Regions from separate parts of the Mus musculus genome. Here all the other regions are reported to be linked to region 3. Evidence: microRNA targets listed by miRTarBase, many of them from high-throughput screens and not tested one by one. Region 3 holds a microRNA gene; each other region holds the end of a gene's coding sequence. Distances are from middle to middle.
Evidence for each region. The annotated mature microRNA mmu-miR-1953 reads UGGGAAAGUUCUCAGGCUUCUG and lies in region 3 at 3,358-3,379, opposite strand. An mRNA with a match to its seed (bases 2 to 7 or 8) in the 3' UTR can be bound and repressed. Matches are read on the target gene's strand: a 7mer-m8 pairs with bases 2 to 8, a 7mer-A1 pairs with bases 2 to 7 and ends in A, and an 8mer does both.

Region 1: the mRNA of Ptk6 is a reported target of mmu-miR-1953. Seed matches in the 3' UTR shown: 7mer-m8 at 1,992-1,998 and 7mer-m8 at 2,153-2,159.
Region 2: miRTarBase lists Psat1 as a target of mmu-miR-1953. Seed matches in the 3' UTR shown: 7mer-A1 at 4,227-4,233.

Annotation. Positions count from the first base shown.
Region 1 is chr2:181,191,589-181,197,596 of GRCm38, reverse strand. Ptk6 (PTK6 protein tyrosine kinase 6) reads left to right here. Exons shown (of 8, transcript NM_009184.2): 6 at 471-652; 7 at 1,143-1,296; 8 at 1,641-2,473. The coding sequence ends at 1,828. Among named protein-coding and RNA genes, the nearest start is that of Ppdpf, 7.3 kb to the right of the region's middle.
Region 2 is chr19:15,901,719-15,907,726 of GRCm38, forward strand. Psat1 (phosphoserine aminotransferase 1) reads right to left here. Exons shown (of 9, transcript NM_177420.2): 8 at 5,212-5,349; 9 at 3,405-4,433. The coding sequence ends at 4,328. Among named protein-coding and RNA genes, the nearest start is that of Psat1, 20 kb to the right of the region's middle.
Region 3 is chr2:151,964,224-151,970,231 of GRCm38, forward strand. It overlaps Mir1953 (microRNA 1953), which reads right to left and starts at 3,394; the gene lies at 3,306-3,394. It overlaps Fam110a (family with sequence similarity 110, member A), which reads right to left. Exons shown (of 2, transcript NM_146127.3): 2 at 5,173-6,008. The coding sequence ends at 5,735.

The DNA of each region.
Region 1 (6,008 bases), 29 Mb from region 3:
TATCCTCACAGTTAGCTGAGGTTACTTTACTATAGGCTTGTGTAGCCTGCTAGTGACTTGCCTTAGCCCACCAGCTTCTCTCTAAATTCTAAATTCTCTCTCTTTCTTTGTGTTTCTCATAAAGAGCTTGATCTCATAAGCAGTTTCTGCAGGAAGAAGTCTCCAGAGATGAAACTCATGCCCCTTGTAGGTGTAGTACTTGCTGGCTGCGCATTATCTAGAGTGTTCAATGGCTACATACCAAGAATATCTTGCAGCAATGCTCTTGACCTTAGATTGCTTTATGATTCCCAGAAAGGGTGTCAGACAAAGAATATGCTCTTTGTCTCTAGGTACATAGCTGCAGAAGGTCTAGGCCTTCCCATTTTGCAATTAAGCCAAGCCAGCTGCTCTTTGCTGTAGCCTTCGTAGCCACAGTAAATGAGGACTGGTCTCTGGCCAGCTGACTCTGGCCTTTGATCACCCTACAGACTCTGATGAGAAAGCCCTGCCTATTTTGGAGCTGGTGGACTTTGCATCACAGGTTGCTGAGGGCATGTGCTACCTGGAATCTCAGAATTACATCCACCGTGACCTGGCTGCAAGGAACGTTCTTGTTACAGAGAACAATCTCTGCAAAGTGGGGGACTTTGGGCTTGCCAGGCTTGTCAAGGTAGGTCCCTTGGAGGTAGGAGACAGAAGCAGGAGGTGGGGCTTTATCTCCCAAGCCTTGAGCTGAACCTAGCCATAAGCAAGATGGGTTCCTGATAGGGTGGCGTTAATAGGCAAGCAAGATGGCTTTATCTATACAGCCACAGCCTTGTTCATACCCTACTGATCTAGCTTTGAGAACCTAGACAGACATAGCCATGTACCTAGAGATTTTCCTGTATTCATGCATTGTAACTCTGCTCTTGTCTTTCCCTGACCCAGAATTCTAGTGAATTGGCATATTTACTGGGCCTAGCCATGATTCTGGCAGCATTGGTGGTAGCTACCCATGGTAGCAGTGGGGTGGTGTTAGTGGGTCAGACAGCAATAGGCAATGTGGTTGTCCCTGCTCACCAGGACCTTGGAGTCCATGCTTGTCAGTGCTACACAAGAAGGGTACAAGTGGCAGCTCTCTCTAGTGTCAGGTCCTACCATAAGACATCTTACCACAGGAGGACATCTACCTTTCCCATGAGCACAATGTCCCCTACAAATGGACAGCACCTGAGGCACTTTCCCGAGGGCATTACTCCATCAAGTCTGATGTCTGGTCTTTTGGAGTTCTTCTTCATGAAATTTTCAGCAGGGGGCAGATGCCCTACCCAGGTATTGCCCCAAGAATGTCTCCAGGGGTGGACAAATAGTGAGCTAGAGTCAGGGCAGGTCTTGAATGGGTGACAGAGATGACAGGAGGTGTTTCCCAGGGCCTCAACCAGACCCCACCCCTGTTTCATTCCTCGAGCATCTGGGAGCATGCTTTTGGGATCATTTCTGGGAGACACCATCCACAGGGAAGGGAACATCCATGGACAGTGTGCTACAACATGTCCAGGGCATGATGGTGGTCATTCTAGCAGGGGTCAGCATTCAGGGAGGAGCCAAAGGAAGCTGGGTGTGGCTTCCAGGGATCAGTCTCCTAGCTCTCATTTCTCTTCTCCCATGGGCCACAGGCATGTCCAATCATGAAACCTTCCTGAGGGTGGATGCCGGCTACCGCATGCCCTGCCCTCTGGAGTGCCCACCCAACATACACAAGCTGATGCTCAGCTGCTGGAGCAGAGACCCCAAGCAGAGACCTTGCTTCAAAGACCTGTGTGAGAAACTCACAGGTATCACCAGGTATGAGAACCTGGTCTGAGCTCCTTGGACGTGGCCAGGACCCACAGAAGAGGGCCTCGTGATTATCCTGGACTTCTATTGAAGGCATGAACCATCCTTCAGTTTACTGAGATGAAGGGATAGGAAACATACCAAACATACCTCAAATACTGCGTTTTGTCAAGGAAAGAGTAAAGAGGCTCCTTTCCCTTTTTTGGGGGGGGGGGGTTTCGAGACAGGGTTTCTCTGTATAGCCCTGGCTCTCCTGGAACTCACTTTGTAGAGGAGGCTGGCCTCAAACTCAGAAATCTGCCTGCCTCTGCCTCCCAAGTGCTGGGATCAAAGGCGTGCGCAACCCGGCTTCCTTTCCCTCCTCCAGGAGGCAATACACAAAATCCAGAAAGTCACTCTCTGGCTTCTTCCTCCCTTCTCCTGTGAAGACTTCATGTGACAGAGAAGCCAAGAAGAGTCTAGGCAACAGGCCTTGTGGAGTTCTTTTCATACCACTTTTGGAGCTTGACTGTCCACAAACACATACCCTACCCTTTAGCACCTTAATTCTGCAGGATCTTATGCCACATACAACCCAGAACAAGTTTACATGATTTTCTCTTTATAACCTTGGTTTTGTTGGAGGATCCTCACCTAGAAAGTTGAAGACAGAGATAAATGGATATGAAATTTCTGCTTTGTGGTTTCCGGTGCCCAGTGGGGAGTGAGTGCTTGAGATACCCAATCACCTGGGGTCCGCAGAAGCAGAGGGAAGACGATGGAGTCAGTAAGAGCCAGGAGATTTTCTTGTTTGCTTTTTCCAAGACAGGTTTTCTCTATGTAGCTCTGGCTGTCCAGGAAGTCATTCTGTAGACCGGGATGGCATTAAATTCACAGAGATCCACCTGCCTCTGCTTCCCAAGTGCTGGGATTAAAGGCATGTGCTACTGTTGTTGCCTGGCAGAGCCAGGATTCTTAACCATGTGGGCAGAGGCAGCTCTTCTGCATCTCTGCCCGAGGCTCTGCACTTGTTTCTAAAGTCAAACTCGGTCTGAGCTTGTGAGTCTGGTGTTTACTTTCAGAGCTCCGTGTCCTTTCCCTTCAGAGATGCTTTTGCCCTGGGTTCCTGAGGCAGGATACCCTTATATCCTGTGCCATCCTCTGATTCCCATTTGGACCCGAGTTTTCCAAGATGGCTCTGGTCCAAGGCTGCTCTCCCTCATGTGTCTTCAGTGCTTTTGAACCCATACTTGACCCATAAAGGCTAGACAGGCTATCTGTTCTCCATTTCATCTCCTTATGTACTTGGAGATTAGAACCCCAGTTCTGAGGGGGAGTATCCCAAAAGCACGTACCCGAGGCTACCTGACTGGAAGTGGGCATAATTCTCTGATGACATGTCTACAGCCACGTCCAGATTGCCCTCTCACAACAGGTGAAGATGCCGCAACCTTCCTTACAGAAACATCCTCTCTGTATCCTAGAGATGACACTTTCTGTACTGCTTCCTGTAAAGCAGCTCTCTGGGATGTAACGTCGTCACTAGATAGGGAGAGCACAGGAAAATGTTTGGAAACAGGGCAAATGAAAACCTTTGAATAAAGTCTTTTGCATAGACATTCATCAAAAATTTCCCCTCTCTCAGTAACTGAACCTTTCATTTTCACCAAGAACAGAATTTGGACTGGGCTTGGTGGTGCACATCTTTAATCCTAGCACTTGAGAGACAGAGGTAGGCAGATCTCTGTGAGTTCCAGGCCAGCCTGGTCTATGTAGCAAATTTCAGGGCAGCCAGAGCTACACAGGGAGACCCTGTTTCATAAAAACAAAAATAAATAAAAAAGAACAAAATTTGTATAAAAATCCAAGTGGACATAAACTGAATCAGGACTAAACGTTCTAAAATTAAAGCTATAGGGACCGTGTACATTTGGCTGTTTGTAGAGTCCTTCCCCCAGTTATAGAGGGGACAACCCTGGTACACTTCTTTAATCCCAGCACTTGTGAAGCAGATTCAGGTATATCTGTGTGTTTGGGAGCAGCCTGGTCTACAGAGTTCTAACATGCAAAGAGTGACCCTGTCTCAAAAACAAGGAAACAACAAAATAAAAAAAAAAAAACAAAAAAAAAATCTCTTACAGTTCTGTTTGGACTGGTCTAGAGATGAGTGCTCATTAAATATCCCTAAAATCTCTCAGAAATATAGAAACAAAGTCAAATGTTCTTAAAGATCACATGATCTAGAATAATGTAAAATAAAAAACAGGAATGTTTCCAGACCTGTCCAACATGAACACAGTATAGCTAGACCAGTTGTTCTCACCTTCCTAATTCTGCGACCCTTTAATGCAGTTCCTCATATTGTGGTGACATCTAACCATAAAATTACTTTTGTTGCTACTCCGTAACTGTAATTTTGCTACTGTTATGAATTATGAATATTTTTGGAGATAGAATTCCCTTTTGTCAAAGAGGTTACAACCCAAAGGTTGAGAGCTACTGAGATAGACTTTTTTTTTCTTACCAGGGTTTAAACAAGTTTCATTCTACTGAGTATTTAAAATGCTAAAAGGAGAAATGAAACCCAAGGGTAGAATAGAGGAAGGGACGAAGGGGATGGTCTTGCTTTTGTGGTGTTGGTGACATTTGCCTGACTTGTTAACAAGAGCAATTTTAGTGCTGATACCTTGTAACACGCCTGTAACTGTTGAGTGGACAGAAATGTAAGTGGAGTGAAAGCTAAATGAACTCCTCAACAGTAATTTTAATTTATAAAAAGCATCCCACAACCTTAAGTTTGTTCAGGCTTGAGAGATGTAGTTAACAAATCAGCTTTGGGGTCATTCCTAAGGAAACAAGCTTAGGCTGATCTGCTATGGCCTCCTGTTTTTACACAGAATGGAGGTAGTTGTGCTTGGGTCTATAGTATGCAGAGCTGTGCAATGAAGGGCATCCTACTACAGTGCCCACAAAGGTTTTCTTCAGTGGCATGTTGGCTACCATAGCTCGTGGGTGCTAGGGACTCTAAGAGTTAAGAATAACAACATATGTAATTAGAACCACTAGAAATAACAAGGAAAACCACCTACGTGCAAAGCGTTCAGGGAAACTCCATTTGTGGTAAGGTTATACATTATCATTTAGAGAGAATAGTCACTGAAGGCTAACATAGGACTTGTTCTAAATTATGAAAAAGAAAAATAGGGAGAGAAAGCTGATGGATCATTATTGTTTTGTTTTCTGAGACAGGGTTTCTCTGTGCAGCCCTGGTCATCCTGGAACTAGCTCTATAGCCCAGGCTGGCCATAAACTCGGAGATCCACCTGCCTGTGCCTCTGCCTCCTAGTGCGGAGACTAAAGGTATACATCCCCACATGCAGCTTGTTGATGGATGCTTTTTCAAAGTGCCTTCCAAAGGTCTGGTGGAATGGAATCTTATCTCATATAGTCAAAGGTAAGGACTGAAAGGATTTAAGAGTTCTTTTAAATAGCTCAGAGGCTGGGACTGCAGCTCAGTTGGCAGAGCACTTTCCTAACACACGTGACATCTTGAGTTTCATCCCCAACAGTGCATACACCAGGTTTGGTGATGCATACCCAAGTTCCTATTATTTAGGAGGTAGAAAGAGGAGAATCAAAAGTTCAAGGGCATTTTCACCACAAAAGATTCAAGACCAACTTGTGTAACTGTGGGCTTTTCTTCCTGACCACTTTGTTCCCAGAAATAATGAGACTCTGGGGGGCTGGTGAGATGGCTCAGCGGGTAAGAGCACCCGACTGCTCTTCCGAAGGTCAGGAGTTCAAATCCCAGCAACCACATGGTGGCTCACAACCATCCCTAAGAGATCTGACTCTCTCTTCTGGAGTGTCTGAGGACAGCTACAGTGTACTTACATATAATAAATAAATAAATAAATAAATCTAAAAAAAAATAATAAATAAATAACGAGACTCTGAGACTAATTATTTACTAATAAATGCTTAGGCCAATAACATTGATTCGTTCTCCCACTAGCTCTTATGTCAATAATCCAGTTTATTCGAGTCCAAGTTCTTCTACTGGTTAGTTTCCTCTCTGGGTAAATCTCTCAAGTCTCACTATTTCCCAGAATTATTCTCTCTGCTGGAACTCCCACCTATTTCCTGCCTCAGCTCATTGGCCAAAAGGTTTTTTTATTGACAGGTGAATGCTTTTACACAGTGCAAAGATTCTCTCTACAAACTTGGGC
Region 2 (6,008 bases), not on the chromosome of region 3:
GTGTCCTTATTGCCAGTTGGAACATCTTCTGGGTATATGCCCAGGAGAGGTATTGCTGGATCTTCCGGTAGTACTATGTCCATTTTTCTGAGGAACTGCCAGACTGATTTCCAGAGTGGTTGTACCAGCTTGCAATCCCACCAGCAATGGAGGAGTGTTCCTCTTTCTCCACATCCTTGCCAGCATCTGTTGTCACCTGAGTTTTTTAACTCAGCCCTTCCTACTGGTGTGAGGTGGAATCTCAGGGTTGTTTTGATTTGCATTTCCCTTATGACTAAGGATGTTGAACATTTCTTTAGGTGCTTCTCGGCCATTTGAGTTTCCTCAGTTGAGAATTCTATTTAGCTCTGTTCCCCATTTTTTAACAGGGTCCTCTGGAGTCTAACTTCTTGAGTTCTTTGTATATATTGGATACTAGCTATATTAGTCAGGGTTCTCTAGAGTCACAGAACTTATGGATAGTCTCTATATAGTAAAGGAATTTATTGATGACTTACAGTCTGCAGTCCAATTCCCAACAATGGTTCAGTAGTAGCTGTGAATGGAAGTCCAAGGATCTAGCAGTTACTCAGTCCCACACAGCAAGCAGGCGAAGGAGCGAGAGACTCCCTTCTTCCAATGTCCTTATATGGTCTCCAGCAGAAGGTGTAGCCCAGATTAAAGGTGGAACACACCTTTAATCCCAGATGACCTTGAACTCGGAGATCTCCCTGTCTTAATCTTCTGGAATCTATAGCCACTGTGCCTCAAGATCTCCATACCAAGATCCAGATCAGAAACTTCTTATCTCCCAGCCTCCAGATTAGGATCACTGGTGAGCCTTCCAATTCTGGATTGTAGTTCATTCCAAATATAGTCAAGTTGTCAACCAGGAATAGCCACTACACTAGCCCTCTATCAGATGTAGGATTGGTAAAGATCTCCCAATCTGTTGGTTGCCATTTTGCCCTATTTGGGTATAGAGAGCTGTAGCACAGTGAGCTCTCGACACTGCTTGTCTGTCTTTATGGTCTTATTGGTTGTTTCAGCACTAAAGAGAGGGGGAAAATCACTCCCTCAGCTCACACAAGTGCATGCCAAGTCTCCTAGCACCAGGGTCACAGGGTGATGACAAGACACTGGCTGTGTCTCCCAATAACAGGAATCTAACAGGGAAAGGAAGAGCTAGGGACAGATTTCAATGCCTTCTTGTGCAAAGACTTTTCTTTAACTGCAGTACTGGAGTCACCATGATGTGGAAAGTGAGTACATGGGTGTTGGGATCACAAAGAAAGAGACCAAGGAGCCTGACCAAGGAACAGACCAGGCATAACTTACCGCCTTCTAGGGGTATGTGCTCAGAAGGTAAGCAGAGGAAGTGCACTCGATTTTCATTTTAACTTAGGTGGTGACTGTGTCTCTTCCCACTGGCTGAGGTTGAACTTTATTCACTCTTATTCAGTTGGCCAGTCTGAAAAGAACTGGTGTACAGGAAACCGGAGGAGGGGGGGGCGGGGGATGACACGACCAGTCACTTTAAGTTGAGAATGTAGCAGGGCTTTTGTGTAAACCAAGGTTTTACTGATTTTACTGGGTTGAGGTATGGGGGATTTGCATAAAAATTCTTATGAAGTGGGACACATGAAAAGATTTAATTCTTCGTCATCATCGCAGGCTCTATAGTATTTGATAGAAAAGACTCCTATTTAATGCAGCTTAAACAGAACATACACGAAGCTTCCCCCTGCCCCCCACTGAGATGACATCAGGACACATATGTGGGTAAAGAACTTTGAAAGAGAAAAATAAAACTTCAGAATCAGTTTAGAAGATCCCATAGAACAAGAGGCAGTCCTTCACCTAGCCTCACAGGGGCCCCAAAGTCTCCTCTGATGTCCTGCTTCTAAACCTTCAGGGACAGGCCAGCAGGTTCGCACCCCAAAGCCTAGTCAGCTGCTGCATCCCTAGCACCCCCCCCCACCCCCCCCACGCTCCCTGCGCCCGCCCAACAGACTGGCCTCAGCTGATCTCTTACAGCAAACAAAGGTCACATTTTATGCTCTGGTTGTTTTCTAAGATCTGTGCTCCAGAGTCTACCATGCGAGACAGACAACTGGCTACCTCCAAAAGCTTTCAAACGGTAAAGATGATTCTTGCAATCTCCCCTCTGGATCAGAGAATCGCAGTCAGTCGTTCAGCAGATGAATTGCACTGTACACTAAGCTTCTGATATTTGATCCAATCCATGTGCTGAGACTGCATTCTGCCTTTACTGCCCCAAGCTGTTTGCAATACGAAGAAACCGTGCTCTATGTTCATTAGGCAGTCTGAGCATCTAAGTGCAGGACAGACAAGCAGCCACCCCAGCATCACAAAGAGAAATGGTCCTGCGAATAAAAAACAAACCTCTGCAGAACAAGGAAAAGAGCAGGAAAGAGAACAGAAAGCAGAGACTAGCAGATCTCTAGGAAGAGAAGGCTGGTCTGCTTAGTGTGGTATGGGCAAACAAGTAACAGGAACACTCGTTAGCACAAGAGACAGGAAGCCAGGCAGATGACGGCAAGCACTGACAGCCACACTAAGAAGCCTGGGTCACTCGAGCATCCACACACTGAGCAGAGAGGAAGTCAGTCCCAGCGGCTGTGGCGAGAGGAGCGGAAGGAACAGAGACGAGATGCTGAAACGATCCCAGGGTTTCCACAGCAAGACTGGCTGTGCCATGAAGGGTTAAAATAGAGAAAATGGGGGTTCACACACACGTGGAAAGGGGGCTTAACTCTGAGCACTAGTGCTGTTTGTGACCCAGAATGATCAAACTGGGCTCTTGGCATTGACAGAGGAAAAGAGCTTGTTTTTTTGTTTTTTTGTTTTTTTCCATTTTTTATTAGGTATTTAGCTCATTTACATTTCCAATGCTATACCAAAAGTCCCCCATACCCACCCACCCCCACTCCCCTACCCACCCACTCCACCTTTTGGCCCTGGTGTTCCCCTGTACTGGGGCATACAAAGTAAGAGCTTGTTTTAAATGCAAACATCCTGCAATGTTGGGTCTTATTTCAACTCTTCACCAATGAGCTGGTGGAACCTGACCGGAGAAACCAAGCAATCAGTGTCTTCCCCTTGTGCAATCGAATGCAACAGGATGAGCGCAAAGCTGTTCTGCTGCCTTTTTTTTCTGGGCTAACTGGGACAGAGTTCACAAAACTCTTCCCTGGGAGCTGTGCTGGAAGGGACTCTGCTGACAGTGTTTGTTCCAAAGTAAAAGGCAAGCAACCACACTGAGTTGCACAAGAACGAAGCCTGACACCTTTGTCTAGACTACACTACCCTATCACAGGCTAATTTTAAACCCTAGGCTCCCCATCAGAATGTTTAAAAGCAGCACCTGACTAAAAAAGCAAGCAGAATAATTCACAGGCAATGAATGGCTTAGATGACTTAGGACTTTAATGTTTTCCATGCAGTCGATTGAAAACACTGATACATGAACAACCAGAAAAAGACCTCAGCAATGTATAGACCTGGAATATATAGTGTTGCCCTGGTTAAACTACAAGAACAGCCACGTGATCACAGTTTGAGGGTGGAAGGCAGGGGTGTGACTGAGTTTTGTTTAACGGCCTAACCGAAAAGCAAAGAATCAACCATTTCTTCTACTTGTGGCAAGAAACGAGAGTCATGGTGGAACGTGTAGATCCTTCTCATGACGCAGCTTTAAAAGGCAGTAGATGGAGAGCACAGGTGACTAGAACGGACGACAGTCATGCACAAAGTCATGGGCTGAACAAAACTGTTTCATTAGAAATATAAAGGCATAGGCATAAACCGTACGGTGTTTAAAACAATACCCACTACATAAACACAGCATAACACACCTATCTCTTTATGGGAATTGCAGTACACAGATCCAAAACGCTCGTGAGTCGCTGTTGACTTGAACCAACTGCTGCAGAACCCAGCAAACTCACTGCTGTCAATCCAGCCCACAGGGCCTCCAACCTCCTAATAATAACCAGTTGGAACCAGCAGGGCAAAGCCCAAGGCAGTCCACCTAGAGAAGGGGGCAGCAAAGATGGCTGACAGGCTGAATTCATTTAGAAGAGCAACAGGAAAGAAAGCTTTCAAAATGCTTCCAGGTCACATGAGAATGAAGGTGGCTGTTAGCTGGGAGTTTCCTCAGCTCTGCAGTGCCCTGATGTTTAGTCGTTATTCTTTGAGAAAGGAATCTGTAATAAGCATGTATTTGGGAAAAAAAAATCCATGTCTGTTAAGTTTCTGTAGTCAATCCCAAGTTACTCTAAACGACGCTGCGTGCTGCTCACAGGCAGAGCGTGGCTGGTCATGTTCACAGCTGATGCATCTCCAAGAAATTCTTCATGAAGGCCGCCAGCTTCTCAACGTCTTCGGTTGTGACAGCGTTATACAGAGAGGCACGAATGCCTCCCACTGACCTAGAACAACAGAGGCCCGTCCAGTGAGACCAAGAAAATGGAAGAGAGCAAATCTGGGTTAAAGCCCTCACATACGTAGGGCTCCAGGTTTGAACCTCAACAACATAGAAAAACGTGCAATGCAAAAGGCGTCTGCTTGAGCACAACACACCCTTCACTAGCTACCCCTCCGGAGAGCGGCAGCTCCCAGCCCGGGTGCTCAAGTTTGCACCCGAAAGCATCCCCAGCAGGCAGCATGAAGCTTCAGTCATTAGGAAATCCCTTGTACGGTGAAGATCATCTACCCACTGAATTACCTCAATCTAGTTTTTAGTCTCATTCATTGGCTTGTTATTTGTACAAATTAATGGGTTTCACTGTGGCATTTCCAGAGATGCATACACTGGACTTTGATCACACCCAAACTATTCACCTTTGATAAAGAAGAAACCAAATAGGAGGAAGGGGACTCAGAGGAGGAGGGTGACTGGGTTTGGGGCCATGCCACTCACTACACTATGCAACAGTTCTAACCACATAGAGCACTCTGCTGCTGGTCTCCTGGTCACAGTATCTGATGTTCAACTGAGCCCAGTGATGGTCTGTTAACACCAGAGTGAAGCAGGCAGCCCTACCAGGGGCACCTTCAGTGTTGATGAAACCCCCGTGCAAAATGCACCGCAACCCAGCCAGAAGCGGCTTATTCTCCAGCAAGTCTATAACCACTACCCCAGGCCGTGTAAGGTCCTGGGTTTTATTCTTTCTGCCTCTGACAGGCCTGGGGACAAGGTGTGCTTACCTGTGCCCCTTCAAGGAGATCATGTTGAGTTCTACCGCCTTGTCAAGAAACCGCTTTTCCAAAGCTTCGTCTCCTTTGGCGTTGCCAATGCGAAATGGGATGTTCATCCTGCTTCTATTCTGGCGCTCCACTGGGCATCTGAAAAGCGTGTCTATTACTCATCTGTGTTTCTAAGAGGTACAGTGTCATAAGCGAATATATAGGTTCTCAAACAGTACTAAGGGCTGGGGCTGGCATTCAGCTGACAGAGTGCTTAACCAGTGCAGGGTTCTGATGGTACGAGCCTGTAACCTGGAGCAACCAGGAAGCGGATACAAGAGCATCAGTGTTCAGGGTCATCCAGAGCCACGTGGTGATTTTAAGGCCAGCGGGGGCTAAGTAATAAAATAAAATAAACAACTGGATGATTAAAAAGAAGGAAAAGAAACGAAAAGCAAGGGCTGGAGAGATGGCTCAGTGGTTAAGAGCATTGACTGCTCTGCCAGAGACCCTGAGTTCAATTCCCAGCAACCACATGGTGGCTCACAACCATCTGTAATGGAATCCGATGCCCTCTTCCAGTGTGTGTCTGAAGACAGCTGCAGTGTACACATATAAATAAAAAATAAAATAAATGAAAGCAAAACAAACAGACTCTCGCCCAGAATGTTATAATTTACCCATGGCGAGAAGCCTCACTCACACAGCAGTAGGCTAGCGGTCACTTGTATAACCTGCATCTCATTTCTGTCAACCTCAGTCCCTTCACTTGAATATAAGCAGCAGCACTGTCTCTGTTTCACAGGATCTGTGACAAT
Region 3 (6,008 bases):
CAGACTTCAGCCCAGCGCCAGGCAGGAGGCTCCAGACAGAAACCCGGCTCCAGCAGGACACGGTAAGAGGATAGGGGCCTCATTAGGGGTCATGCTGCGCTATTTTCAAACCTCAGGGGCCAGGCAGAAGGCCAACTCTGCCCTCCCACAGACTTCGCTCCTCACAGCCGGGGGCTAAGTTTGCCAGTCCGGGGTTGCTCTCTGGCTTTATGATACAAATGGGGAAAGATAGAACAGGAAGAAGAAAGACTGTCACCGGGCTAGAACCTGAACCCACTCACTCTGTCATTTATCCTCCGGCCAAGCTGGGGACAACAGAGCAAAGAGAACTAACTCCCTGCCTCCTGCTGGATTGGGGAGGCGGAGTTCTAGTGAGACTGACAGCGCACAACCTCCACGTAACACATCCCACATCCCGGGTAAACTACAGCAGGTGGCACAGAGACCACCACTGCTGCTGGTTATGTGTGGGCTTCAGGTAACAGGACAGAGCTCCCTGAGGAGGTAACCCAGACATAGGATAAAGGAGAAAATGAATCGTGTGGGTCTCCAGCCTTGGTAAGAAGGCAGCAGGTACAAAGGCGCTGGAGAGAAATGTGTGCTGCACTCCTGGAATACTAGGGAGGTAGCATGGAGTGTGGAGGAGAAACAGGGTCAAGGTCGTGACCCTGGTCAAGCCTTTGGTCAAGACTTTGACCGTGAGGATGTAGTCCAGGCTGCCTGACAGAATGGGCTCAAGGCTCCCCGACAGCTCCGTGTGCCAAGGTCCAGCTCCAGGTCCAAACCCACCTTTTCTCTAGGCTTCCACCACAGGACCCTTGCTTCCAGCGCACTATGGGTCCTCAGGGCTCGCTTCTCTTACAATTTTTCTACAGATCTAGGACTTTTTTTTTTTAAGTGGCTTCAATGTAAAGGACGGGGGTTTATTCAAAAGCACCTGGGAAGAGAAACTTTCCCCCTCAAGGGAAACTAAAACCAATAAATGAACCACTGTCTGTCGTACCACTCTGGGGAAACTGAGGGAACTATGGCCGGGTTAGGAGGCACCAAGCAAACAAAAAAAGCAAAGCAAACAGCGACCCGTGGAAAAACAATGATCGGTACAAGAGAGGACATGCAGAGGAGACATGAGATGCAAAGGGATGTGAGACAGTATTTGTAGAGTTGTGACAGAAATATTGTGCAATGAAAAATTGTGGTTCACATCAAGTTAGAAGAGTAGGTGAATAAAGGCTAACTTCCTTGATATCAATCAAAAGGAAGTTTGAACCCGGGCTCATGCATCACGCTAAGCACATACGTGTATCATTCTAAGCACATGTGTGCATCATGCTAAGCACCTGTGTGCAAGTCCTCCCAACAACTCAATCACCTGAAAGCTCATGACTGCTTACAAATGAAAACTGACCACATGACCAGTGAGGGGAAGGGAGGAACTGGGGCAGGCCAGCAGGCTGTTGCACTCTCTATGAAGACAATAGATGGCAAAACCAATCACTATTTGTCCAAAATTAACCCAGGGTGGGGGGGCTCCTTAGAAATACCGAGGCAGGTACCTGGAAAAAACAAAAACAAAAACAAAGAGCTGAATGTGGTTGCTTTGGAGGAAAGCATCTGGAAGGGACTGAATGTTTTCATTGGGCTGTTTAACCCATACAGATGTAAGGAGGAGCTGCAGGTGGGAGCACGTTGGGAGGGGATAACAAGGGGACTTCCCACATGATGGAAATAGGGCTGGGGCACAGTGATCACTCAGCAAGTGATGAGCAAGTGATGGCCTTTAAAGAGCTGTGTGTGTTTCATAGTTTAATAATAAATAATAATAATAATAATAATAATAATAAATACATGGGGCTGGAGTCATGGCTCAGTGAGTGAAGTGTTTGCTGCACAAGCATGAGGACCTAAGGTCAGCTCTGTATGTCCACTGCAGTGACACGCAGATGGTCAGGGACAGACACTGAGCGTGCCAGTGAACATCTGCAGCCCCAGTACTGCAGGAACACACACAGGTGGCTCCCAGGGGCTTGCTGGCTAGCTAGCACACCTGAACATAGAGAATTCCAGCTTCAGCCAGAAACCGTTCCTCAAAAACTACGATGAAGGGTAACAAAGGCAGGCAACAGATGTGGCCCTCTGGCTGGCACATGTACATGTGCAGAAAAGGGCACCTGTATAGACATGTGTACACACACGCATCACATACAATAATGTTATATCATACCCTGGAAGGAGGTGTGTTGGTGTGCACATTTTACTTTGAAAAGCTTTATAAGAAGTGTTGCTACAATGGAGAGAGATAGACGGGTGGGCAGATGGACTCCCAACAGAACAAATGCAGTGAGACATTAAAGTGCATTCAGGGGTGGCTAAGTATTCACTGGATAATTTCTTCACCTTTCAAGTTTTTTTCTAATAACGAGCCAGGGAAGACAGGCCACTTTGGGTGTTATTTGAAACACACACTATTGCTAAAAACCTAGCTGGGGGCCTGGAATGAGGACCCAGCAGTTTGCTTGCTGCTCTTTCAGAGGGCCAGGGTTTGATTTCCAGCATCCGCATAATCCATCCCTAATTCCAGTTCCAGGGGACCCAGTGCCCTCTTCTGACCTCCACAGTCACCAGGCACACATGCAAGCAGAACATTCATATTTAAAAAATACGATAATCTAAAAACAACAAAACCAAAAAAACAAAAACCAAACTAGTAGGGTTGCTCTGCCCACACCTGGATATACCACACACCTCTGTGCATGCAGGGGTAGCTGTCACTATGCTCTAGCCTATGTCCCCACTGCGCTCTGGGGACTCAGAGTTCAGGGGACAACAGCCTAACTCCTCACTACTCTGTGCTCCCCAGCACCCAGGGCACAGGACAGATGGGGAAGTCTGCCCCGGATGTCCTGGGATGCCTTGTTAGCAAAAAAAAAAATAAAAAAATAAAAAAAATTTCACCAGAGACAGCCCCTTCAGCTAGCACTCTACTGTCTGCCAGAAGGTAAACTGAGGCTGGGGGGGGCGCTTTTTACACCTCTAGCACTGAAATGGATCACCAAACCACAGTCTCCCAAGCTCCTTTGTGTATGGTCAGCTAGTAGGGAGGAACAGAAAACAGGTCTCTGCCTTAATTAGGCAAGCCGGCAGCTGGGGCCAGGCTGGCTGGGAGCCCCCGGCAGCCAGGGCAGCAGCTGCCAGGTCGGGTCTCCGTAGAGCTGAACAACAGCAGCAGAAGCGCCTGAGCTTAGACTCCTGATTCTCACACCACGGGGGAGGCAGAACAATGGAAGAGCTGGCTCCCCAGATCTTAGGGCTGCCAGGAAGAGGGGAACCTCACAGCCTTCTGCTCCTGCAAATTCTCAGAAGCCTGAGAACTTTCCCAAGACCAGGCAGCACCTGGGGGAGAAATCAAACCTGGCCCAGCCCACCACCACTTCCAGTAATGGCCTCCAGAGTCCTCGGCTACGGAAAAGCACAGCTCTACATTTAGGGCTGATGTCCCTTCTGCTTTAGACTCCTCCATCAGGTTAACTGTTCTCCCTGAACACTGGGATGAGGACCATGTCTAATAGGGGTACCCAGTGGGTACTTAGCTGATAAGGAAGAGAGCTTAAGTTCACGAAGAGGAAGAAGCTCCAGGGTGGGGCAGACTACTTCAGAGTGTCTGGAAGACCATCCTGCCCATAACTTACCACCACTCCATGTTCCACTTCCTGCTCTCAGACCCCACACCTACCTCTCCAAACATCACCTCACATATCTGATGAGAGGTGTGGCCAGAAATAACCCCTCCTCCAGGAACTGGGGTTCACTATTGTTCCTGAAACCAAAACCTTAATATCTTTCTGTTTTGTTTTTCAAGACAGGGTTTCTTTGAATAGCCCTGGAACTAGCTCTGTAGACCAGGCTGGCCTCCAGTTCACAGAGGTCCATCTGCCTCTGCCTCCCCGCTGCTGGGATGTAGGTGTGTGCCACCAATACCCTGCCAGAACCCTCATTTCTTCACATGCCAAGTGCAGCCAGCTCACCTACCCTTCTGGGTGGCTGGGGTACTGAGGGTCACAAGTCAGAAAGAGACTGTGACCCAAGGCCAGCAGGGTATCTAGAGGGGCAGGGTGGCTGGCCTGGATCTCTCCCCAACCCCGCTCCTTTTCAGGGTATGCCAGGTCACTGCCCTCCTGTACCCATCTCCAGATGGGGTGGGAAGCAGTGTCCTCAGTTTCCCCTTCTTTCTCTAAACCACCCTGGACGTTGGGGGTTGATGGTAAACACACAGCTATGCTGACCCACATGTTTGTCAACAACCCAGGGGAAATCTCTTCTTTAATGCTTAAAATAAAACCATCATCAACCTGTCACCACCACCCCTTCCTATGTTTCCTGTTTCTGAGGACTGGAGCCAAGGCAGCCTGCAGGGAGGAAACATCACCAAGACACGCCCCACCCCCACCCCCGTGGGGGACAATCAAGCCATCCCCCAGATCACCCTTTGTGAACCCAGGGGTCCCTGCTGCTCCACTACACTGGGGAAAACTAAACGGGGAGTGGACAGATGTGCGGCCACAGCATCAGCCACAGCATCCACGGTTGGCTGCTCTGCGGGGCCCGGGCACTGGGATACAGATTACTTCAAAACTTCCAGAATACAAGGTCCCAACCCCAAAAGACTATACCACCTAGCTCTCCACTGAGGCACAGAAGCAAGACTGGCCTGTCCAGGGTCGGCTGGGATCACAGGCAAGGCCACCACTCTGGGCTGTTCTCTCCCAAGTCCCTCTTGCTCTAAGAACTCCATCCTCCAGCCGCTCCTCTGTTGCCTGGTGACCAAGAGTGAGGGTTTTCTCAGGTTGAGCATCCCTTGGCAGCTCAGCACGGCTCAGCAGCTCAGGGATGTTCCTGCCAGCCTTCTCGCTGAAAGCCCCTTCCTTCCAGAAAGAAGCCACTGGGTTCTGGTTCCACTCACTGGCTAGCTGTCTCCTGACCTAGAGAGGACCCTGCAGGCTTCTGGAGAAAGTGAGGTTGCCCCTGCTGGATGCGTCTCACGTGTGGCCTGCCCACGCTGGCATAGGAGAACCACTGATGTCCTGCACACCAGATCCTGGTTCATTCCATTCTGAAGGCCCTACCCCAAGACTTTTCACACTCCTTTCCCCGTGAGCAGAGAAGAGTCCAAAACCTTGAGAAAACGAACATTTGTGTTTATTAGCCACAGAGACTTCAGAGCACCAGGCTCCTAACCAGTCCCTCCTACAAGTCTACCCACCTAGGCCAACTGCCAAAGACCAGGAAGACCAGCAGACAGGCCCCATCCTCTCAACCTCCTCCCCGGGGTGAGTTCCCAGGAAGCAAGGGCCCTCTGGGTAAGGAAGAGGAAGTCAGCAAAAGAGGACAGACAGGGAAGAAGGAAATAGGGCCTGGGGCAGACAGACTTGGCAAAGCACTTGATCCCCAACTCAGTGGAGGGTACGCGACCCAAATCCAGTGTCACCGGAGGAAACAGGCAGAAGCACACTTGTGTCGCAAACTTTGTTAGGGGGTGGGGTAGGCCAAGGGCAACAGCAAACTTCTGTGGGTCAGTCCTTGCTTGCCAGAGGATGCTGGTCTAAGTCTTGGCCTCTACATTAAATTCACCCAAGAGTCTCTGGGTCTGCAGGAAGGCAGCCAATGGATACAGGAAAGGACAAAGTGCCAACTGTCTCTTCACGATGTCTTCCCGGGAAACCCCAGTCCAGGAGGCCTAACCCTCAGTGGTGGGAGGGTCACGAGCCTGCCGCAACCCATATAGCCACTTGATCACACGAGCGTTTCGCTCGATCACAGACACCCCATAGGGGACACGATCCAGGGACCGCTCTTCCACTGTAGCAGAGCTGCGGCGTGAGCAGCCCCCTTCAGAGCTGCAAGGTCCAGCACTTGGCCCGGCTAGAGACACGATGTCCGAGCTGGCCCTTGCTAAGTGGGCCACCCCCAATCCTCGCGCTTCCTCTGGGTCCAGGCCACAGAAGTTAAAA